Schizosaccharomyces pombe: one gene and its partners. Changing the gene in region 1 together with any one later gene gives a genetic interaction. Each region holds a gene or a part of one and is shown in the gene's direction. Other genes may lie near its edges. The genes, in order: rng2, nod1, rga7 and arf6.

What was found.
Region 2: of rng2 (region 1) and nod1, changing one enhances a phenotype caused by changing the other (phenotypic enhancement), as found in Schizosaccharomyces pombe (one study listed by BioGRID).
Region 3: mutations in rng2 (region 1) and rga7 are lethal when combined (synthetic lethality), as found in Schizosaccharomyces pombe (one study listed by BioGRID).
Region 4: of rng2 (region 1) and arf6, changing one enhances a phenotype caused by changing the other (phenotypic enhancement), as found in Schizosaccharomyces pombe (one study listed by BioGRID).

The regions. Positions count from the first base shown.
Region 1 is NC_003424.3:2,643,654-2,651,335, forward strand, and holds rng2 (IQ motif containing GTPase activating protein), read left to right. Parts: upstream 1-1,774; 5' UTR 1,775-1,863; coding exon 1,864-6,333; 3' UTR 6,334-6,774; downstream 6,775-7,682. Other genes in the region: hcs1 (3-hydroxy-3-methylglutaryl-CoA synthase), read left to right, coding at 1-30, 207-1,490; U5 snRNP complex subunit Spp42, read left to right, coding at 7,085-7,682. UniProt on the Schizosaccharomyces pombe protein: Component of the contractile F-actin ring; required for its construction following assembly of F-actin at the division site.
Region 2 is NC_003424.3:4,588,203-4,592,472, forward strand, and holds nod1 (protein Nod1), read left to right. Parts: upstream 1-1,963; 5' UTR 1,964-2,062; coding exon 2,063-3,322; downstream 3,323-4,270. Other genes in the region: pet801 (putative S-adenosylmethionine transporter), read left to right, coding at 285-308, 365-521, 667-1,121, 1,208-1,372; glucan glucosidase exg2, read left to right, coding at 3,653-4,270.
Region 3 is NC_003423.3:2,109,783-2,115,357, reverse strand, and holds rga7 (Rho-type GTPase-activating protein Rga7), read left to right. Parts: upstream 1-2,282; 5' UTR 2,283-2,463; coding exon 2,464-4,551; 3' UTR 4,552-4,873; downstream 4,874-5,575. Other genes in the region: mat1-Mc (M-specific transcription factor Mc), read right to left, coding at 331-876; mat1-Mi (M-specific transcription factor Mi), read left to right, coding at 1,011-1,139; cms1 (U3-containing 90S preribosome complex subunit), read left to right, coding at 5,001-5,343, 5,400-5,575.
Region 4 is NC_003423.3:4,373,804-4,378,172, forward strand, and holds arf6 (ADP-ribosylation factor-like protein Arf6), read left to right. Parts: upstream 1-1,925; 5' UTR 1,926-2,053; coding exon 2,054-2,159; exon of another isoform or gene 2,160-2,258; coding exon 2,259-2,289; exon of another isoform or gene 2,290-2,491; coding exon 2,492-2,564; exon of another isoform or gene 2,565-2,619; coding exon 2,620-2,818; exon of another isoform or gene 2,819-2,861; coding exon 2,862-3,007; 3' UTR 3,008-3,374; downstream 3,375-4,369. Other genes in the region: fmd1 (glutathione-dependent formaldehyde dehydrogenase), read right to left, coding at 1-931, 1,039-1,082, 1,240-1,272; trp1 (anthranilate synthase component II), read right to left, coding at 3,418-4,369. UniProt on the Schizosaccharomyces pombe protein: GTP-binding protein that functions as a molecular switch for the activation of 'new end take off' (NETO), a process in which the directions of cell growth change from a monopolar manner to a bipolar manner in fission yeast.

The DNA.
Region 1 (7,682 bases):
AAGGGCCTCGTGTTGTACACTCCCAATCAGGTATGTTATAAATGAGTCGCTACTTTATTTCAAAACTTCTCCTCCAAATTATTTGCATGCATTACCTACATCTTTTTTCAATAGTACAAATTTACGCAAGCTTCAGAGGAAAGTAATAGAAATACTTTCTCATTAAATTCCTTCAGAACCTGATATTAATCGTTTTTACCCTATAGTATGTTGAACAAGCTGCCCTCGAAGCGCATGATGGAGTCTCTACTGGAAAGTATACTATTGGCCTCGGCTTGACTAAGATGGCTTTTGTCGACGATCGTGAAGACATTTATTCCTTTGGTCTTACCGCTCTTTCTCAACTTATCAAGAGATACCAAATTGATATAAGCAAGATTGGTCGTTTGGAAGTTGGAACTGAGACTATCATCGATAAATCTAAGTCTGTCAAAAGTGTTTTAATGCAACTTTTTGGGGATAACCACAATGTCGAAGGTATTGATTGTGTTAATGCCTGTTATGGTGGCGTGAACGCTCTTTTTAACACAATCGATTGGATTGAGTCTTCTGCTTGGGATGGCCGTGATGGTATAGTTGTCGCTGGTGATATTGCTCTCTATGCCAAGGGCAATGCTCGTCCTACCGGTGGTGCTGGTTGTGTCGCCCTTTTGGTTGGTCCTAATGCCCCTATTGTTTTTGAACCTGGTCTACGTGGTACTTACATGCAACATGCTTACGATTTTTACAAACCCGATTTGACGAGTGAATACCCTTACGTTGATGGCCATTTTTCTCTTGAATGTTATGTTAAAGCTCTTGATGGAGCATATGCTAATTACAATGTTCGTGATGTTGCTAAGAATGGAAAAAGTCAAGGACTTGGATTGGATCGTTTTGATTATTGCATTTTCCACGCTCCTACTTGCAAACAAGTCCAAAAAGCATATGCGCGTTTATTGTACACCGATAGCGCTGCTGAACCATCTAATCCCGAGTTGGAAGGTGTCCGTGAACTTCTTAGCACCCTGGATGCTAAGAAATCCCTTACCGACAAGGCTTTAGAAAAAGGTCTTATGGCCATAACTAAAGAGCGTTTTAACAAACGAGTTTCCCCTAGTGTCTATGCCCCTACCAACTGTGGTAATATGTACACTGCCAGTATTTTCTCTTGTTTAACTGCATTACTTAGCCGTGTCCCCGCTGATGAACTTAAAGGAAAACGCGTCGGTGCTTACTCTTATGGTTCTGGTTTGGCTGCCTCGTTTTTTTCATTCGTTGTCAAAGGCGACGTCTCTGAAATTGCCAAGAAAACTAACTTGGTTAACGATTTGGATAATCGTCATTGTTTAACCCCTACGCAGTATGAAGAGGCTATTGAGCTACGCCATCAAGCACACTTGAAAAAGAATTTTACTCCCAAAGGAAGCATCGAACGTCTTCGTTCAGGTACTTACTACCTTACTGGTATTGATGACATGTTCCGCCGTAGCTATTCGGTGAAGCCTTAAATCACCGAAAAAAAGATTAGAATGCAAACTAGATACTGTTAAAATCTCTTTTAGTAGACTTTTTTTTGATACATGAATATGTGATTTTGACAACTTTTTTGTTAATTATTTAAAACTCATACGTATTGTAGTCTTAAAATGAATAACCTTCATTTGTAATAGCATAACCTAAATAATTAGAGTAAATTCGTCACTAACGGACAGTATCTTGAATTAAACTACTTACACCTAAAAACCCCCCACTCATCTTGATAACCCACATTTTCTTTGTCTGAGTAACAGCTACTCTCCACTAACATAGCCGAAAAATTGTGTGCAGTTACTTTATCTAGTTTGAGATCGAATGCTGAGTAGGTAGTCATCAGAAGTCTCAATGGACGTAAATGTGGGATTATCTAGACTTCAATCTCAAGCTGGGGCACCTGTTGGCACGAAAGGGTCGAACACTCGTTTAGCAGCCAAACAAAGAGAAACCCTTCAAGCATATGATTATTTGTGTAGGGTTGATGAAGCAAAAAAATGGATAGAAGAATGCCTCGGCACAGATCTAGGACCAACGTCTACATTTGAGCAGTCGCTGCGAAACGGAGTTGTCTTGGCTCTCTTGGTTCAGAAATTTCAACCCGATAAACTAATCAAGATATTCTATTCTAATGAACTCCAGTTTCGCCATTCAGATAACATTAATAAGTTTCTTGACTTTATCCATGGCATTGGGCTTCCCGAAATTTTTCATTTCGAACTGACTGACATTTACGAAGGGAAAAATTTACCCAAAGTTATCTATTGTATTCATGCCCTTTCTTATTTCCTTTCTATGCAGGACTTGGCACCCCCTTTAATCAAGAGTGATGAAAATCTATCTTTTACTGATGAAGACGTTTCAATAATAGTCCGTAGACTCCGACAATCTAATGTAATCCTTCCTAACTTCAAAGCTTTAAGTGCCGATTTTATGCTTCGTGCTAGTCCTGTTTCTTCTCGCACTCCTTCCCCTACACGATTTCCCAAGCATGCTCGTTTCCAAACCCTAAATTCATCAGATTCTGCATCTATATATTCGTCTCCTTATACTTCTCCTACTTTAGAATTTTCGAAGAAAGATGCTAGCGCTCGTTCAGACATCCTTAAGATGCACAGAAGGACGAAATCAGCGACACCTTCGTTAGAACAATTTAATGAACCATATAAACAAACTTTGCCTAGTCATTCAATCGAATTCGAAGACTCTTTTTTTCAACCCCCTTCTCAAAAGGGACATATGCAACGATCTTTCCTCACAACATTTTCAGCACCCACAAGAAGACGGGAGGCACTATTTTCTACCACTTCTGGACTTAGTCAGCGTAGCCCTGTCGATGAGAAAATCGTGAACGCGATTCAAGCTTGTGGTCGTGGCGTACTTGTGCGCTTGCGTTTGGTGGATATGTTACAATCCCTCGTGGAACAAAGTTCTTCTGTCGTACTTCTGCAAGCCGTAATTCGTGGATATATATCTAGAAATACATACAGAATACGAAAGAAAGCATACGATGAACTTGTAAACTGGGTTACTTCTATTCAATCCATCTCTCGTGCATATCTGATACGTGCACAATACCGTAAAGTGGTTTTACAGGAGGAGGCAACGAAGTCAATCCAAACGTTACAAAGCATTATTCGTGGGGGTTTCTATCGTCGTAAATACCACTCGTTAATAGAGAGGCTAGACTTATTTACACCATCATTTGTGTTAATTCAATCCTCAGCTTTAGGATTTCTTACCCGTCATGCAATAGTTAATATGCTTGACAACCTTTACAACTATATCCCTCTCTTTAACCGGATGCAAAGTATACTGCGTGCAAATATGTTTCGGAATGAATGGTCTAACTTTCTAGATTCCGTACAATCGTTTCCCGTTTCTTTTCACTCTATTTGCAAAGGACGCTTGATAAGGGATTCTATAAACAGATTAAATGGATCACTTCTGGGAGAACTGGATAATTTTATTAAACTACAAAATTTATCTCGAGGATTTATGATTCGTCGGGCATTTAAAGAGAAATTGGAGAAATTAAAAGCATCAACATCCTCTTTCATTGCTCTACAGGCAATTGTTCGGGCTTTTCTTTTAAGAAAAAACTTGGAAAGCATTTATGATTCTTTTCAAAAATCGCACCTATCTGTCATTAAAGCCCAATCTCTTTATCGGGGATTCATTACTCGAACCAAAATTGATTATTGTAACGACTATTTGTTAAAGCGATTACCAGATATCGTGTTTATGCAATCTGCAGTCCGTGCAATTCTTTTACGAGATGATGTGAATTATACTGAAGTTCAGTTAGATTCTTTTATTCCTGAAATTGTATTGTTACAATCTTTAATTCGTGGGTATCTATCTCGAAACAAATTTTCAAGAAAACTTCAAAATTTTCATAAGAATATGGAGAATCCCATAGTTGCGAAGTCCATTTTTAGGGGTCGTCAAGAAGGGTTGGCTTATAGAGAACTTGCTACGGCCAAAAATCCACCTGTTATGACGGTCAAAAATTTTGTTCATTTATTAGACGACACCAATTTCGACTTTGAGGAAGAAGTATTGCTTGAAAAAATGAGAAAAGAAATTGTGCAACAAGTACGAGACAATGAAGAAATTGAAGTTCACATCAATGAACTAGACGTGAAGATTGCTTTGTTGGTTAAAAACAAAATCAGTTTGGATGATGTTTTAAAACATCACAACAAGTATAAATTTGGAAAGCAAAGCACTGAATATTTAAAAATTAATACTCTGTCTATGAAGTCACTCAACAATTCAAGCAGAAAATTTTTGGAACTTTATCAGTGTTTTTTCTATGTGTTACAAACCAACGAAATGTACTTAGCAAATTATTTTCAAGCGCTAAAAACTGAGGGCACTTCCTCTGTAAAGATCCGTCATGCTGTTTATTTAGTTTTGCAAATTTTCGGCCATGGCTCTAACCGACGAGAAGAAGTACTACTTTTGAGATTCATTTCCCAAGTCATTAAGCTAGAAGCAGCTTTAGTTAATTCATCTCAGGATCTACTTTCTGATGACTGTGTCTGGAAATTACTGTTCACTGGATATCGTGGGGACGTTCGTGAAGTGAAGCTTTGGAAAACTATTCTCGGCCGCATTCACAAGGTTTTAGTAGCCGACAATCATTTGGATTTTGAAATCAATCCGTTGACTCTATTTAAAAGTTTCAATCCTGAAGTTGCCAGTCAAACTGATAGTCCAAAACTCACTTTGTCGTTAGCAATGCAACACCCACCGACAAGAAATCTATACGTTAGCAGACTTCGTGAACTTCGAAAACTGTGTCAATCATTCCTAGTAGCACTTTCTAAGAATATTGAAAATATTCCTTATGCTTTATGCTATACTGCAGCACAATTGAAAAATAGCTTACAACGATATTTCCCCGCTGCGCATAAAGAAGAAATTTTTGGCGTAATAGGGAAATTTGTTTATTGGGCTTATGTCGCTCCTGTACTTGTGTCACCCGATAACTTCAAGTTGGTTGATGGCTCTATTACAGCTCTTCAACGAAAAAACCTTTACACATTGTCAAGCATTTTGTCTGAGATCTTTTCAATCGAGTCCTGTGACTCTAAGCAACTTGGTTTTTTTAGACCACTCTCCGAGTTTATTGAGGTGTCCAAGCAGGATACCATGTTGATGCTAGAAAGGCTTGTCGATGTGGTTGATCCAGAGGTGTACTTTGAGTTCGATGCTTTTGAAGACCTTGTTAATACCAAGCGGCCAGTAATATACATGAAGCGAGACGATATTTTAGGCATTTATTCATCTATTGCATATGTCATAGATAGTATTGCTCCTCCTGATGTGAACGATCCATTACGCGCTGTTGTCAATAGCTTAGGTCCTGTTTCAGAGCAAGACAATGACTTTGTGCAAGATGAAACTGACGTCAAACTAGAATTGAATCCCAAATTTTGCACTATAGAAAATCCCGTTGCTCAGGAACGGACTCTTATTGTTCAGACAAAGAGATATATATTATTTATTATTCGAATTCAAAATGGCCTTAATCTTTTGGAAATACTTGTCAAACCGGTTACAGATTCAGACGAAGCAGCATGGCAAAATTTATTGGCAGAAGAATCTGAAAAGAATGCAAGGAATTATGATTTGTTTGATGATTCTATCTTTTCAATGTCATTTGCAGAACTGAAATACACTGCACTAAGCAATATAGTGGAAATGGAAAAGCTTGGATTTGCAAACCGACGGAATAATTACCAAGATATGGTAAATTCTATCGCTCTAGATATCCGTAATAAGTCGAGAAGAAGGATGCAACGACAGCGTGAACTTGATGCGGGACATCAAAGTTTGCTTAACTTACGAGAAAAAAGAGCTTTCCTTGATTCGCAGCTAAAAAGTTATAACGAATACATTGAACAAGCTATGGAAACATTACAATCAAAGAAGGGTAAGAAGAAGCTTATTCCTTTTTCTAAACAGTATTTTCACATGCGAGATCTCCGAAAATCTGGACGCGTTCCTCGCTTTGGGTCGTTCAAGTACCCAGCTCTTAAACTCTATGACCGAGGAGTTTTGGTATCAATATCTCATATGCCGCAGAAAGAAAAATTGTATATTACTATATCAGCCGATGAAGTTGGCAAATTTATTCTGGAAGCAACAAGCCCGACAGTTAAAGTTTCGAGCCCAAGGTGTGAATTGCATTTGGACGACTTGTTGTCTGCTCAATATAACAAGGTTTTAACTTTGGATGTTTTGGATGGCCGTCTCAAATTAAACACCAATATGTTCTTACATTTGATTTTCTCCAAATTTTATTCATGAGACGTTTCACTTTGTTCATTTTTCCGTCTCTTTAACTACCCAATGATTTAATTCGAATTAACTTAAAACCGTCAAATATCTTTGCACATTAATACTTGTCCATATTCTTTTGGCGAAATATGTATACTATGTGATATTTTCTCCCCTTTAATTCTGATAATTTGCACAGTTTTCCCATTTCATTCACTTAGTGTGGGGGGTTTTTTTATCACTACTTGTGTTTACTTATACTGTACAAATCTTATTTAACTCGGTGTTATTTTTCAAATTTTTTTTTTCAACTAAAGCCGTTGAACCTGAAACACTAAATCAAGGAATAGGAATTTTTGGTTTATGCATACTAGTTGTACTTGGTAATTTATACTTTCTGAATTAGTTAAAGGTTTATAATTACAAATAACACTTTTTTATAACAAAATGTAATTTATGTCAATACATACATCTTTACTAATTCTTATAAGGCGATTCGATTGAGCATGATTATGTTCAAATTAACCTTTGGATATGGGTAGGTGTTTGGTTGACAAACTTCTTAAGCGTGTTGCATTTTAACGAAGAAAATTTGAATTTTCAAATCCCGTATAGCGTGTAAAAAAATATACATTAAACACGTATTATGAGCAGAAGACTACATAGACCTAATATGAAATAAAACGCACAAAAGAATATTACGCACAAATAATGGCGAGGGTCACCACCATACAAAGTAATATTCACTACCACAATTCAGCTGACAAATACCATTACCTAAATGGCGTCGTTACCACCGGGGAATCCTCCTCCACCGCCTCCTCCGCCTGGATTTGAGCCTCCTTCACAGCCTCCACCTCCTCCACCTCCAGGTTATGTGAAGAAAAGAAAAAACAAGACTCCAGCACAGTCTGGAAATCTTGAAAAGCAACTTAACGAAAGAGCACGCAAATGGCGCGCTTCTCAAAAATCAAAGTTTGGTGTCAAAAGGAAGCAGGGTTATGTTCAAACAGAGAAAGCTGATCTTCCGCCTGAGCACCTGCGCAAAATTATGAAAGACAGGGGAGATATGTCTTCTAGGAAGTTTCGTGCTGATAAACGTTCCTATTTGGGCGCTTTGAAGTACTTGCCACATGCTGTGCTAAAATTGCTTGAGAACATGCCAATGCCTTGGGAAGAATACAGGGAGGTCAAGGTTTTATATCATGTAACCGGTGCTATAACTTTTGTAAACGAGAGTCCTCGCGTAATTGAACCGCATTTTATTGCTCAATGGGGAACGATGTGGATGATGATGAGACGCGAGAAGCGTGATCGAAAAAATTTTAAGCGTTTGCGGTTTCCTCCTTTTGACGATGAAGAGCCACCATTTTCTATTG
Region 2 (4,270 bases), 1.9 Mb from region 1:
AACATATAAAAGAGTATTTATCGCTATAAATTCAAATCAAACATCAGATGATTTTTAACTATGTTTTTAGTAATTCGTTTTCCTTTTTATACTTGATGGTGAATGTGCAATGTAGAATCAAAGAAATTATGTATTGGAATATATGCTTGTACTGGGATGTATTTAGCAAATTAATTATATACAACAAAGTATGTCAATTTGGTAGAATTCATATTTTTCATGGTAAGAACCGACACCAACTTCTTAGAACGTGTCATTTCACTCCCTCAAAGCGCCATTCAGCAATGTCATTTTTTGAAGCTCTGGGTGTAAGAAACAAAACAAACATAAATAACTATAATGAGGACTAATCAAAAATTTCTAGGCAGGAATCTGTGCTGGATTGGCAGTTGATCTATCCTTGTTTCCTATTGATACACTTAAAACTAGACTACAAGCAAAAGGAGGATTTGTAAAAAATGGAGGGTTTCATGGTGTATATCGGGGATTAGGCAGTATACTAGTTGGCAGTGCCCCAGGAGGTATGAAAAAAAAGAAAGAAAGTAATCTAAATGTATGGTTTCTTTCTCTGGTCTTAACAAACGATAGACACTTATTAAATTACCTCTTATAATATATTACAAAGTTCACAAAGTGTATAATAAACTAACTCACTAACGCTACTAGCCTCTTTATTTTTTACTACTTATGAAAACATGAAATCCAGATTATCCCAGTCTGGCCTTGGACTATCAGATCCCCAAATTCATATGTGTTCAGCTTCTCTAGGTGAAATTGCGGCTTGTATAGTTCGAGTCCCTACAGAAGTAATTAAGCAAAGAGCACAAGCTTCTGGTGGAACATTATCATCTAGAAATATTTTGCAAACGATTTTAAAATCTAACAATGTCTGGCGCGATTTTTATGCTGGTTATGGAATCACTATTGCAAGGGAAATCCCTTTCACACTAATCCAATTCCCAATTTGGGAGCACCTGAAACTGAAATGGAGAATTAAACATTCTCGAAATAAGAATTTAGCTCATGAAGCAGCTATCTCGGGCTCCATTGCAGGTGGAATAGCCGCTGCTTTAACAACTCCATTTGATGTTGTTAAAACGAGAATTATGACATCTCAGCAGGTATGTGTTTGATTTTTTGATTAAACTAAAGAATTTTGCGCGTGAATCACTACCTTGATATACACTTTTGATACTAATTTGTTTAGCGACTTTCTTATGTGTTTACAATTAAATCGATAGTTGCCCATGAAGGCTTTCTTGCTCTTTACAAAGGTATAGTTCCTCGAGTCTTATGGTTAAGTGGAGGAGGTGCTATTTTCTTAGGCTGCTACGATGTCATATTGAATTTTATGAAAGCCGAAGGATTGTGATTGAAAAAACTAGTCATAATTTAGTTTTTAGTACTTTTTGGTTGCATACAAAAATAAAAGATAGAAAATACATTCCTTTGGCTAAGCCGCGTTTTATAGAAAGAATATCTTTAATTTCAACATTTTTTGGAAGGATTCCTTACTATAAAATATCAGTTGCAAAAAAAATTAAATCATTTTCTACTGAATTATCCACTTGATCAAATATTATAACGGTGTACTATAATGGAAGAAAAAATTGTGTTTAGCATTAATGAAGTGCTATTGTAGAATTGCTGAGCTATAAAAATGAACACATCTTGACATTACTGTATGCTCGATGTATTTGGAATCAATAAATGATGAAACAATGAAGTTTCAAACTAACTAGAGTTGTGTTTATACATAGTGCTCCATATAAGATCAAACATATCCACGAACGCTCAATAAATGTTTTATTGGTGTCTAACAAATTCTTCATGATTTGGAAACTTTATTTAGTTAAAATACTTAGCAATTTATGGTGAGACATCCATCCAATCTCAAATTTTTTCTCTATTCGTAAATACTTCTGTTTAAGCAACTAGACGAATTTTGGTTTCAAACTTCTACAACGCAATTCTAAAGTGAAGATTTCCTTGAAACGCTTATCTACTATTTGTTGATTGGGTGTTCCATACCGATTGAAATTTACTTTTCTGATATATTTAAATGGAAAAACCATTGCCTAATCCGCCTATTCAAGAAAGTTTACGAAAGCAATCCCCCCAAGACGCTGTTTACGATGATTTGGTTTTTGGTTTAAAACGTTATGAAGCGGCTTTCTCAATTAAAGACAGTATTGAAGATGTTCTAGCAAATTTTTCTAAAGACGAGGAAAAGGAAATGGTTTGTCTCAGTACGTCGATTGCAGAAAATCCTTATCAATCGCTTTCATTAGAATCTGTTCCATCCAAAATACTATTTGGATCATTTTTATTTTATGTAAAGGATCGAATCCCGGAGAAAGCTGGTTATATAATTGAAGAGCAGTTCTGTAAACGACTTCAACAAATCGATTACGATGCTTATTCTTTCTCACCAAAAGAGTGTAATGAAAAATTAAAAAATATTTTCTCTGAATTCTCTCAAATGAAGCTAAAAATGTTGTCTGTTTTTTTCTCGATTGTACAAATTTTGCTTCCTAAACTCAGTGGAGATTATCAGGAACATGTCCAATTTTTTGCTTCTATATCGGCTGTCGTAGCACCGAGGGGTTATGTTTTTGAAATCTATCATGCAGTTGAACATTTATCTCTTGAAGCTAGGGAAGTTTTTCAGCTGCACCATCCTCCTTCCCCAAAACAAACAAGGCGGGTCGTTTCTGAAGGACCTCTTAATGGCGTAAACTACAAGCAAAACACTACTAACAACAGAGTCTCTTCTTTTCAAAATTCTCAATACTCTACGCTAAATAATTTCCAAAATAACTCTAATCAATCACCTAACTCCAATGATTTGCAACCACTTCAAGCTGAAGCCTTTCACTCCGCACATAATGGGTATTCTTCCTCTACACTCAACCTTAATTCTGAACTAAATGTAATGAAAGATCACGATCTACAAGCTCCGATTCCGCGTGCTTTAAAGCAGCATAAACTTCCTCCCATACCCGTACCTGAAGTTCAAACAACTAATATTGGTTATCAAACTGATTTACCATTGCAAAATCCCAATGATAACTTGGTATCTTTGGCGATTTATGAGGCACTTTACGAGAAATTTCTTAAAGCCTGTAAAGATCTGGAAGAAGTTTCCAAGTCATATGAGGAAAGCCGTGAGGAGATTGAAGCTTTGCATGAAACATTTACGGAGGAAGTGACTTCTTTTCAAAGTACTAAGAGATTGAAAGAGGAAAAAATTATTCAAGAAAAAAGTCGGGTTGATAAAATGATCGACGAATATCGTCAAAAACTTTCAGAAAGCACTTAACACTTTTACGTTTAATTATTGGAAATTTACTTATATTTTTAGATTGTTATTAACTTTTTATTATGTTTATGACTTGTTAACTGCTAACTTATATGCATGTTCCACCGCTAACGTCACAATGATGGATCGGTATTATTGTAATAGTTTTGCAATTTAAATACTGTTTGATGACTACATGTTCATATTTTTTGTTTGAAGCACGTTCTTCCTTTCTTTCCTCCCTTTGAAGAGTTGTATCATTATCTTTGTTTCTTTTCTTGTCAAGGGCCCGGTAGTTCCTTCTTTTAATAATTGGATCAAAATATCTTTCTTTCTTTTTATTGATAAAATATGAGCAATCTTTTAGAAGCTGAGTCATCTTGTGACTCTAAATCACTCGGTGTTGATGACTTTACATCTAAAAGGTGTAGAGAAATTGACAAGAAGGCTCTTCTTATTACTATCCTCCTTACATTTTTTGTTTCCCTATGTGTTTTCCTGTCAATTATTCTTCCTCTTATATTTTTAGTTATTATTCCTCACGCTCAGTCAGATCGAAAAATTAAAGACACAAATATGGAAACCACTAATTTAGGCGTAAATATAATTGATGAGATATTTAATTCCACTCAAGTACCTGAATGGGCTAAAAACTCGCTTTTGGACACCAATACTTGGCTTGATACATCTGATTTCAATACAAGTTTTACGAACGAAACGTTCGCTGGATTATATACAATGGGAATATTTGATAAATATGATGATTCCGTTCAGGCAAATCCTAATGTCCCTCCTTTGAACGAGCCTTTTCCGTACGGTCGACTTCCCATTAGAGGTGTAAATCTAGGTGGATGGCTTTCAATGGAACCATTTATTACTCCATCTTTTTTCCAAGTGAAAAATGAAACTGCATACTTAGTAAAAGATGAATTGAGTCTACACGCATATTTGGGGGAAAATGCCACCAGC
Region 3 (5,575 bases), on another chromosome or scaffold:
TGAAAATAAATAAAAACGAATAAAAAAAACAGCATATTTCGATAGAATCAGGGCAGTAAAATCCATGTATTACTTTATGTAAGGAGATTTTAGGAAGCATCACCCTCTAAAACAGTATGGCATTACAGTGCTTAGAACTACGTTATGTTAGCATAACAGATATAAATCGCAATACATCGTTAATAGAACACACAATAATTACTATAGAATAACTCAACGCAAATGGGGTACACAAAATATTACATTATAATCTTCAGTGAATGTAACTCTAAGAAGCATATTTAAATCAATTTCAAAATTCTTTATTAAATACCATAAATATTACCATTATTATCTTTTAACTTTATTCTTTCTAGGCTGGTACTTATAACCAGGGTACATTTTCTGATGTTGTGCTTTATAAAACTCAGACATCTTAAAATATCGCATACGTACTTCCTTTGATTCGTTTCTCCACATCTCTCCAACCAGCTTGGAAACTTGTGAATTATTGATGGAAGGGTTAGACTTTAATAATGTAGCATGTTTTTCCTTCCTGTATAATATAAAAGCATTAGGGGGTCTCGGAGTACGTTCAGTAGACGTAGTGTCTTTCCGTAAACTCTTCAAAATATAGCCGGGAACTTTACATTGATCCAATGTGAAGGATATTGGTTGAGGTCTTGGCAGTTGTGCAGAATTCCCATCCAACAGGTAGCTTTGTGAGTTAGGAATGAGTATAGGAGTAAAGCCATCAGGAACAAAGTAAGCAGCACCTTTGCCAGTTTCAATTGAATGAAGAGCATCCTTTGTAAGGTATCTTTTAAAACACCAGTCTGGATCTAAAAAGTCGTAGGAAATAGGGGAACCCGCTGATAATTCTTGGTGTGAGTCCATTGTAGTTGTGAGTGCAAGGTAGGTGTAGAGTGTGGAGGGTATTTAACTACTTACAGAACAAAGAAACCCAAAAACAAAGGAACAAAATACACTAAAACACAATAATTTAATCTAAAGCACAATACATACTAATAATGTCAGCAGAAGACCTTTTTACAATTCAAATCCTATGTGATCAAATTGAGTTAAAACTTGCATCCATTGTAATAAATTCTAACATCAAATTACAACTTAAACGTAAAAAAAAGACACAACAATTATAAACTACATATAAGCAGGGTTCAGTAAATTGGGAAGGCGTTTCTGGCTATTAGGTTGTATGGCTATTAAATTAAAGGTTGTATGCTATACAAATGCATATGCATATGCATACAGAAAAATACTACCTCTTCCAATATTTTTCCTTCAACTACTCTCTCTTCTTTTCCTACCCTTCTTCTCACTCTCTTTTCCTTTCACGGCTAACCCACTATTTTCTCTCCTTTCTCTTTCTTTGTTCCTACCCAAACAAAGAAATAGTTACCATAGCTACTACAACAAAGCAAGCACTCATCCCACTTAATGTGGGGTCCCCTAAAGAATTCCCGTCTAATGAGAATTAGGAACGTTTCATTGTCAAGTTCGTTATTAAGTTATTTAAGAAAATATAATACTGATTAAAAATATATCGGTATAACAAATACAAAAATTAAACAGTCGCAATAAAACATGTTGACAAACCTGTAGTCATAGAATAAACATAATGTTATTATATTAACAGTAGGCTCTAAGGATTTATTATTGTTTTTACATATTCGTTCATGACAAAAAAAGTATTACAAACAACTTGCAATAGAATAATCCTACTTATTTGTTCTTTTCATTCACCTAATCCTCTCCCCCATTTGGAAAGGGTATGGCATTTTACTCGAATAACGCAACCAACTTTCTGTCTCCTTATTTTGCTATCCCCCACTTAGAAAGGGTATGACACTTTTCCTTAAATAACACAATCAACTCTTTCTCCTTATACCCTTCTTCCCCTTACCGCCTTCCTACTCACCTCAGTCTTTACCCCCACGTATCTCTACCTCCCACTTGGAAAGGGTATGACACTTACCTCGAATACCACAGTCAACTCTTCCTTCCTTTTCAACCCTCCCTCACTATACTTCATCCCACTTAAAAAGGGTATGGCAGAAACGTTATACAACGCAATTTGTATTTTATTCTTTTCCTTTACCTTCCTATCTTAAACTCATTTTCATCCCCCACACTCAACCTCCCAATTCCAAACTTTTAGCTTCGTTACATCTCCGTAATTTGAACTACTCATACCTCCTTAATCCTCTTTATCTCTTCCTCTACCGTCCTCTCCTTACCCTTTCCTCGTTTACATCCTCTATACTCGCTATACTACTCAAACCAACCACCCACTACCAATTCCTTACAAACAAAGAATTCACCCTTCTTTCCTCTATCATTCTTTGCTTGCTCAAGTGATTTTATATATTTTCGCGTTTACCGCGCTTCTTTTGTTATTTTTACTCTTTCTATTCTCTCACTCTATTTACTTCTCTTGCTCCCGCCCATCACTCAACTCCTTCAATGCTGTCGGCTCCCTCCTCCTCTACCACTCCCGCTTCCCCACCAACATCGCCTCCAAATACCACTTCCTCTGATGATTTCGCAGTTCTCAAAGAACCAAAAGTCGAAGCGATCCTCAATTCGGAACTTGGTCTAGCAATCCTAAATGATCGCATTAAAGACTACCTCCTCACTTGCAAAGAACTCGCCGGATTCTTTAAAAAGCGTTCCATTCTCGAAGAAGAAAGTGGAAAAAATTTACAAAAACTTGCTAAATCCTACCTAGAGACGTTTCAATCCAAACACCACTCTCCCCAATCTTTTTCCGCCTCTGTCATTACGAGTATGGAAATTCATGAACAACTTGCCAATCACAGTTTAACCCTTCAAAAAACTCTTTCTGCATTTTCCGATCAAGTCATCGAATTTCACAAAAACGCAGAACGCAAACGAAAATCCATCAAGGAATATGCGAAAAAACAAGAAAACGCATATTTAGAAGCCGTTATGCAAATGGATAAATCCAAATCTCGCTTTAAGGGTGCCGAAACCGAGTACAACCGCGCTCTCGACAACAAAAACACTGGAGACTCCCAGAAGAAGGTTGGTTTTTTTAAACCAAAATCTAATGCTCAGCTCACCAAACTCGAAGATGAAGCTCGCCTTAAGGCCGAAAATGCAGAATCAGATATGCACAGTAAGATTGAAAACGCTCAAAACGTTCAAAAACAACTTTTGTGTATTCACCGACCAAACTACATAAAGCAATTCTTTTCCCTTCAACGCGAAATTGAAAGCTCACTCATTGCAAACTATCTACGGTACACAAAGCTCTGCGAGTCAAACACCCTGCTCAACGGTCTCACAATCCGTCCACAAAAGCCCACTCCTACCAACTGTGGTTTACAACATGCTTTGGATAATATAAATGCAAATACCGATTTTGTTCAATACGTCCTTCACGCCTCCATCAAGCATGAAGATAACAAAAATCCAACCGACGCTTCTAAAACAAAAATCATTCAACCTCCAAGCTCTTACGGAACTGGTTCCTCTGCCGGAAAAACCAATCCACCCGTCAACCCCACCATCAAGGTTACTGCTGCTATTCCCTCTCCCCTACAAAACACTAATCCTGCTCCATCCACTTTTCCCAACCCTTCTGTGGCTTCCCCTGCCTTCCCAAACTCATCTACTTCCAATCCCTCTACTGCTCCCGCTTCAGCCTCTCCTTTGGCTTCTACCCTAAAACCTAGTACCGCCAATGACACAAACGGTTCTTCTTCATCCTCTTCTTCCAATCCTCGTACCTCTTCTCCACTCGCTTCTAATGCAGAAAACAAGCCCCCTGTTGCCCAACAATCACCTCCCGTACTACTTCCTACTTTACCTCCCATCCAGACGACAACGATTCAAACGTCTCGAGAAGTCGCACCACCGCCTTCTAGCATCAACTCAAACCGTGCTGCATCTCCCTTCCGACCAACTTCTGTCTCCCCTCAACCTTCCTCTCCTACGAAATCGTTACTCTTTGGTGCTCGATTAGACGCAATCATTCTACGAGAACATTCCAACATTCCAAACATCGTAATGCAATGCACTTCCCAAGTCGAAAATTTTGGTCTCAACCTCCAGGGCATCTACCGTGTTCCCAGCTCTTCCGCCCGTGTCAACATGTTACGTTCTCAATTTGAGAATAATCCTCTCTTACAATTACATACACCTGAGGACTATGAAAACGACGTTCATGCAGTCGCTGATCTACTAAAAATCTTTTTCCGTGAACTACGTGAACCGTTAATTCCCGACAATCATCAAAGAGACTTTATCGACGCAGGTAACGTTGAAGACGAATCCAGAAGAAGAGATGCCGTCCATCGTGCGATCAACGATCTTCCCGATGCCAACTACTCTACCATTCGTCATTTAACCATACATCTTGCTAAAATTAAAGAAAACAGCGATGTAAACAAAATGTCGACAAACAATTTGGCCATTATTTGGGGACCTACTATCATTAAGCAAGCTACTATCCCAGAAATTAGCAGTTTCTCTAGAACTATCGAAATTCTTATCGACTATTGTTTCACAATTTTTGACTACGATTAAAAGATCATTTTCTGTATTATTTACTGCTTACCATCTTTTTTTTCTCTTTTTATATTTTTTTCCTTTGCGTCAATAAAGCACACTTGACACTATTCTCTCTTTCTTGGATTTTGTATGCTTCCACCTCTTTCCCCTTTTTATCCCTTTCCTTACCTTGTTTTTATCCTAAACTTTTGTTTGTCTACAAATTCATTCTTTTCTTTACTGTCAATTCCGTTCACAATTTTAATCCATAGTTTAGACAACCTTCATAACGTAATAATGGAAATTATCTACGATTTTATAAACCAAATGAATTCCTTTTATTTTTTTTTCTTCTATATAGACCTTCAAATACTCTATATTTTTGTAAACGATAGATTTATATTTTTTTTTACATTTTTCCTGTACTATTCGACGGTCCACGAACTGAACGTATCCCTAACACCAAAATTTTAAAACATGCAATTATGAGCTACACGACAACAGACGCTGATGCTTTGGATGATCAACTTGATTATCAGGTAGATTTAGTTTCAGAAATTTCAGTTTCGGATGAAGAATCTGCACAACCTACTACAATAACTGAAAATTTTACTGCTTCTCAAAACAACGATTCAGCGAAACGTGAAAAAAGAAAAAAACAACGCCAAAAACAAAAGGAAAGGAAAAGAGCTAAATTGTTAGAACTACAAGACACAAACGCTTCAATCATCCAGAGTCCAGACACGCTGTCCGATTTGTTAAATAATTACATAAAAAGCATTTATAGTGATCTTACCGATGTAGAATTGTCAGATAAAGTGATTAAAGGTATAATTGCTTATTATTCTTTTTTTTTTTACTTCACTTTACTAACTCACTATAAGCATCTTACATTGAAGATACGATCAGCTTCAGCAAACCTAAAACAGTAGACAATTATCCAGAATACATTCAACATCTTCCCGGTTTTACTAAAAAAGTTGTTCAAAACAGTAATCCTGAGATTCTTGTCCTATGCATATCTGCATTACGTGCCATCGACGTTTTGAAACCAACGAAA
Region 4 (4,369 bases), on another chromosome or scaffold:
GTACTCATCAACAAAGTTCGGCAATTCAGAACGCCCTTTAACTCCTCCAAAAGCTGAACCCAACACTTGACGACCAGTTACTACAAGGAATGGACGAAAATCAAGGGTTTTACCAGCTGCGGCGACGCCTATAACACACAGTTTACCCCAACCTTTGTGGCAGAATTGAAGTTCCTGCTGCATGACAGTGACATTTCCAGTGCAATCAAATGCATAGTCAACACCACCATCAGTCACATCAATAACATACTGTACGAGGTCTTTAACTTTAGAAGAATCGATAAAGTCAGTAGCACCAAATTTCTTGGCATATACTTCCTTATCTGCATTGATATCAATAGCAATGATTCTCGAAGCACCAGCTGCAACCGCACCCTGCATTGCAGCGAGACCTACGCATCCACATCCAACAACAGCTACCGTTGAACCAGACTCAACCTTAGCAGAGTGTGTCACAGCACCAAATCCAGTTGTGACACCGCAGCCCAACAAGCAAATACTGCGAAGAGGTGCGGAGTGTGAAATAGCCACAAGCGAGATATCAGCTACAACTGTGTATTGACTAAAGCTAGAACATCCCATGTAATGAAGCAACGTTTTATCGCGACAGGAAAAGCGACTAGTACCGTCAGGCATTAAACCTCGACCTTGTGTTTCACGAATTTTGGAGCACAAATTAGTTTTACCACTACGACAGAATTTACACTCTTTACATTCCGGAGTATATAGCAAAATAACATGGTCTCCAGGACGCACGTTGATAACCCCTTCGCCAATGCTTTCCACAATACCAGCACCCTCATGACCAAGAACAATAGGGAATGCGCCTTCTGGATCTACACCAGACAGCGTGTAAGCATCTGTGTGACAAACAGCACTCCAATCGACTTTCACACGAACCTCATGAGCTTTTGGAGGGGCAACCTGAATACTGTAGTATCACCTCCCATTCTGCCCGTTGATGAGCAGAAGAGAAGTCAAAAGTTAGTAATAAAATTCAAGTATAAATTCTTTTCCTTTTGTCATCATTATACTTACTCCTCTATAGATAAAGGTTCCTTTGCACCCCAAGCTACGGCTGCCTAAAACGAATGTTATTAGTACACAGAAAGAAAAAATAAAAGATAATTATCCATATACTCATGGATGAACAATAATATCAAAAGTAAACCTTTGGTGGACTTACAGCACCAATATCATTTACACTTTAGACAATGATTTACGTTTTCTTTTTCATACCTTGCAAGTGATCGTTTTACCTTCGAAAGACATGTTTCATTAAAGACTATCTCAGAATGTGTATTTGGTAGAAAGACTGTTACAGTTTTAACATTTAGGTCTACTTACTTATTACATATGCTTACTACTAGATAGGTCGCGACTCGGATGAAAATTGTCGATCATCGTCGATCTTGTATCTCAATAGTCACTTGCTAGATAGAGAGATATACATACAAAAATAAAGAATCAATATTAAAAAGTACAATTTAAAATACAGTGCTAGCATAGAAACATATGTTACGAAAACATTAGTTTGTTTATAATTCAATACTTGAAGCCTTCTTCTACTAAATGTTATTTTATATGATTGTTTTTTATTTTTATTTTTTTTTGAAAAATACTTTAAATAATGAGGCTTCAAATCATTAACATACACTGTTAAAGTTGAGTAATATAAATCTGCGTTATTAGGCAAGGGAATGAGAATGTTTCTATTCAATAAACTTGATGGAAATTCCAAAAGTTAATCGATAAAAATAATATTCTTAATATTTAATTTATTATTCGTACATGGGATTTACGATATAGTACAAGACCATGGGCTTCCATATAATTCAGTTACGCAGCTCGTTAATTTACATTATGTATCAGCTCGGCTTAATTAAATATTTCAGACAGAGAGAGTTGATATCAGCTGCACCTACGTTTAGTGCTAGCCGTCTTTTAAAGTACGAAGAAAGCCCTGTATCTGGGTTCAATATAAATTCTACTTCTTTGGTTTTTTTGGTCTATTCTTTCTTTTGGTTATCTTCTTCTGGGATTATTTGATACCATGGGCAATTCACTATTTAAGGGGTTTTCAAAGCCATTTAGTCGGTTGTTTTCTAACAAGGAAATGCGTATCTTAATGCTAGGTCTGGATGCAGCTGGAAAAACGAGTATGTTTTTTATTCGGATGGATTTTTACAGTCTTCATTCCGTATAATCGTGCTTAACTTGGTGTTTTAATAATGGTAACTCTTTTATTAACATTTTAGCTATCTTATACAAATTAAAACTCAATCAAAGGTAAAGAGCACTAAACAGCATTCTTCGATTGTGTCAAGGTATCGTATGCGCTGCTTCTGTATTAGCATAGTAGATATAGATTTCATTACGAAGACTGTTGGTTAATTAATCAGTGAAGTCTACTGTCGCGCATTATCTTGAGTTGCAATTATGCTTCCGTAAATGAAATTGATTTTTCTTGTGTTCATTAACTAACAGCCAGTGTTGTCACCATTCCCACTGTGGGTTTTAACGTCGAAACAGTCACTTACAAAAACATCAAGTTTAACGTTTGGGTATATTTATAATCAATCTTGGGTCGAGCATGTTCTAACGTTGATTTGTTTGTAGGATGTTGGAGGTCAAGATAAAATACGACCTTTATGGCGGCATTATTTTACTGGAACCAAAGGATTAATTTTTGTTGTTGACTCTGCCGACAGCAATCGTATATCAGAAGCTCGTCAAGAATTGCATCGCATTATTTCAGATCGTGAAATGCGGGACTGTCTTCTTTTGGTGTTGGCTAATAAACAGGATTTGCCTGGAGGTAAGGTTGCGAATCCGAATAACTTATGCTAACACTATGGTAGCTCTTTCACCTGCTCAAATTACCGATGTTTTGCAGCTAGACAAATTGAAGGATCGTTTATGGAACGTTCAGCCAACATGTGCTCTTACAGGAGACGGGCTGTTGGAGGGTCTGGCTTGGCTAAGTCAAAACGCAAAGTTAAAATAATTTGCTTCTTTGATTTGTTAATACATGGTGTTTATTTCGTTCGTTATCCCAAGAATTGCAAATAATTACATCGATCAGCTTCCGTTCTATCCCTTTATCGTTGCTTAATTAAATCTGTACAGTCTTTACTATTCATTTTCTTTCTTTAGCATATAACTTTACTATTGCCAATCGTTTCCCTATTCCTACTATCACTTTATAATGTGCTTCATTCGGCCAAATACATTTGGATAACAGCCATTTTTGTCAATAAAATATTTCTTAATTTAATACAGAAAAGTGATCAATAACCAGATAATATAATTATCGCACACTTCTTATCCAACAAAATCTAAAACCAGTTATTTTAAGCGAAGTCTCATGATATGTATCCAAAAACATCTAGACAAACTTGATTTAATGTAGACAAGTTAAAGTTCTTTTACGGCGTTTATAAATGCCTTGATCTTTTCAAGATCTTGTTTCCCGTCAGTCTCCACCCCACTCGATACATCGACTACAGCTGGGCGGCTAACAGATATAGCATCTTGTACATTTTTAGGTGTTAGACCACCAGCTAAGACATAAGATACTGGAATGAAAGATGCAGCTTCCCAGTCTACTTTCTTGCCTAAACCTCCTGACTCTCCACCGACATATGCATCAATCAAAGGTACAATATGATAGTTGGGCCTTGAAATTTCAGAAGAATTTAGCGGAAACACCTTAATAACAGGTCTATCGAGCATATGTATCCATTCGAAAGGTTCTTGTCCATGAAGCTGGACAATATCCAAGTTCACTTCTGCTATTATAGAACGAATGTATTCTAATGGTTGATTTTGGAACACACCGACTAACAAAGGGTGCGGAGAGGAAGCAAGATTTTCATACTGATGATCAAACCAACTTTGACCAGTCACTGCTTTCTTTGGGGAAATGTGTTTTCTATTGGTTGTATGAACAAAATGTGAAATTTCCTTGGCCACGGACAAGTCCACTTTTCGTTTGCTCTTTTCCACAAAAATTAACCCTATCAAATCGCCTCCTGATTCTACAATGGTTTTAGCAGCTAACAATGAACGAGTACCACATACCTTCACTAGGGGTGTTGATGTTTTTTTACCATTAGATATCTCGCTAGAAGAAAGATTAAGTAACTCTCGTGCAAAAGCGGCAGGATCCGAAGCTCTCATAAGAGATTCACCAACAAGAACTGCTGATACACCTTGACTACTATAATGGGCAACATCAGCAGGACTACTAATTCCACTGAGAGCTGCAAGAATAACATCATCTGGGACCATTTCGGCTAATTTTGATGTAGTGGAAAGGTCTACTTCAAAACTATGCAAATTCCTGTTATTAACGCCGATAACTTTA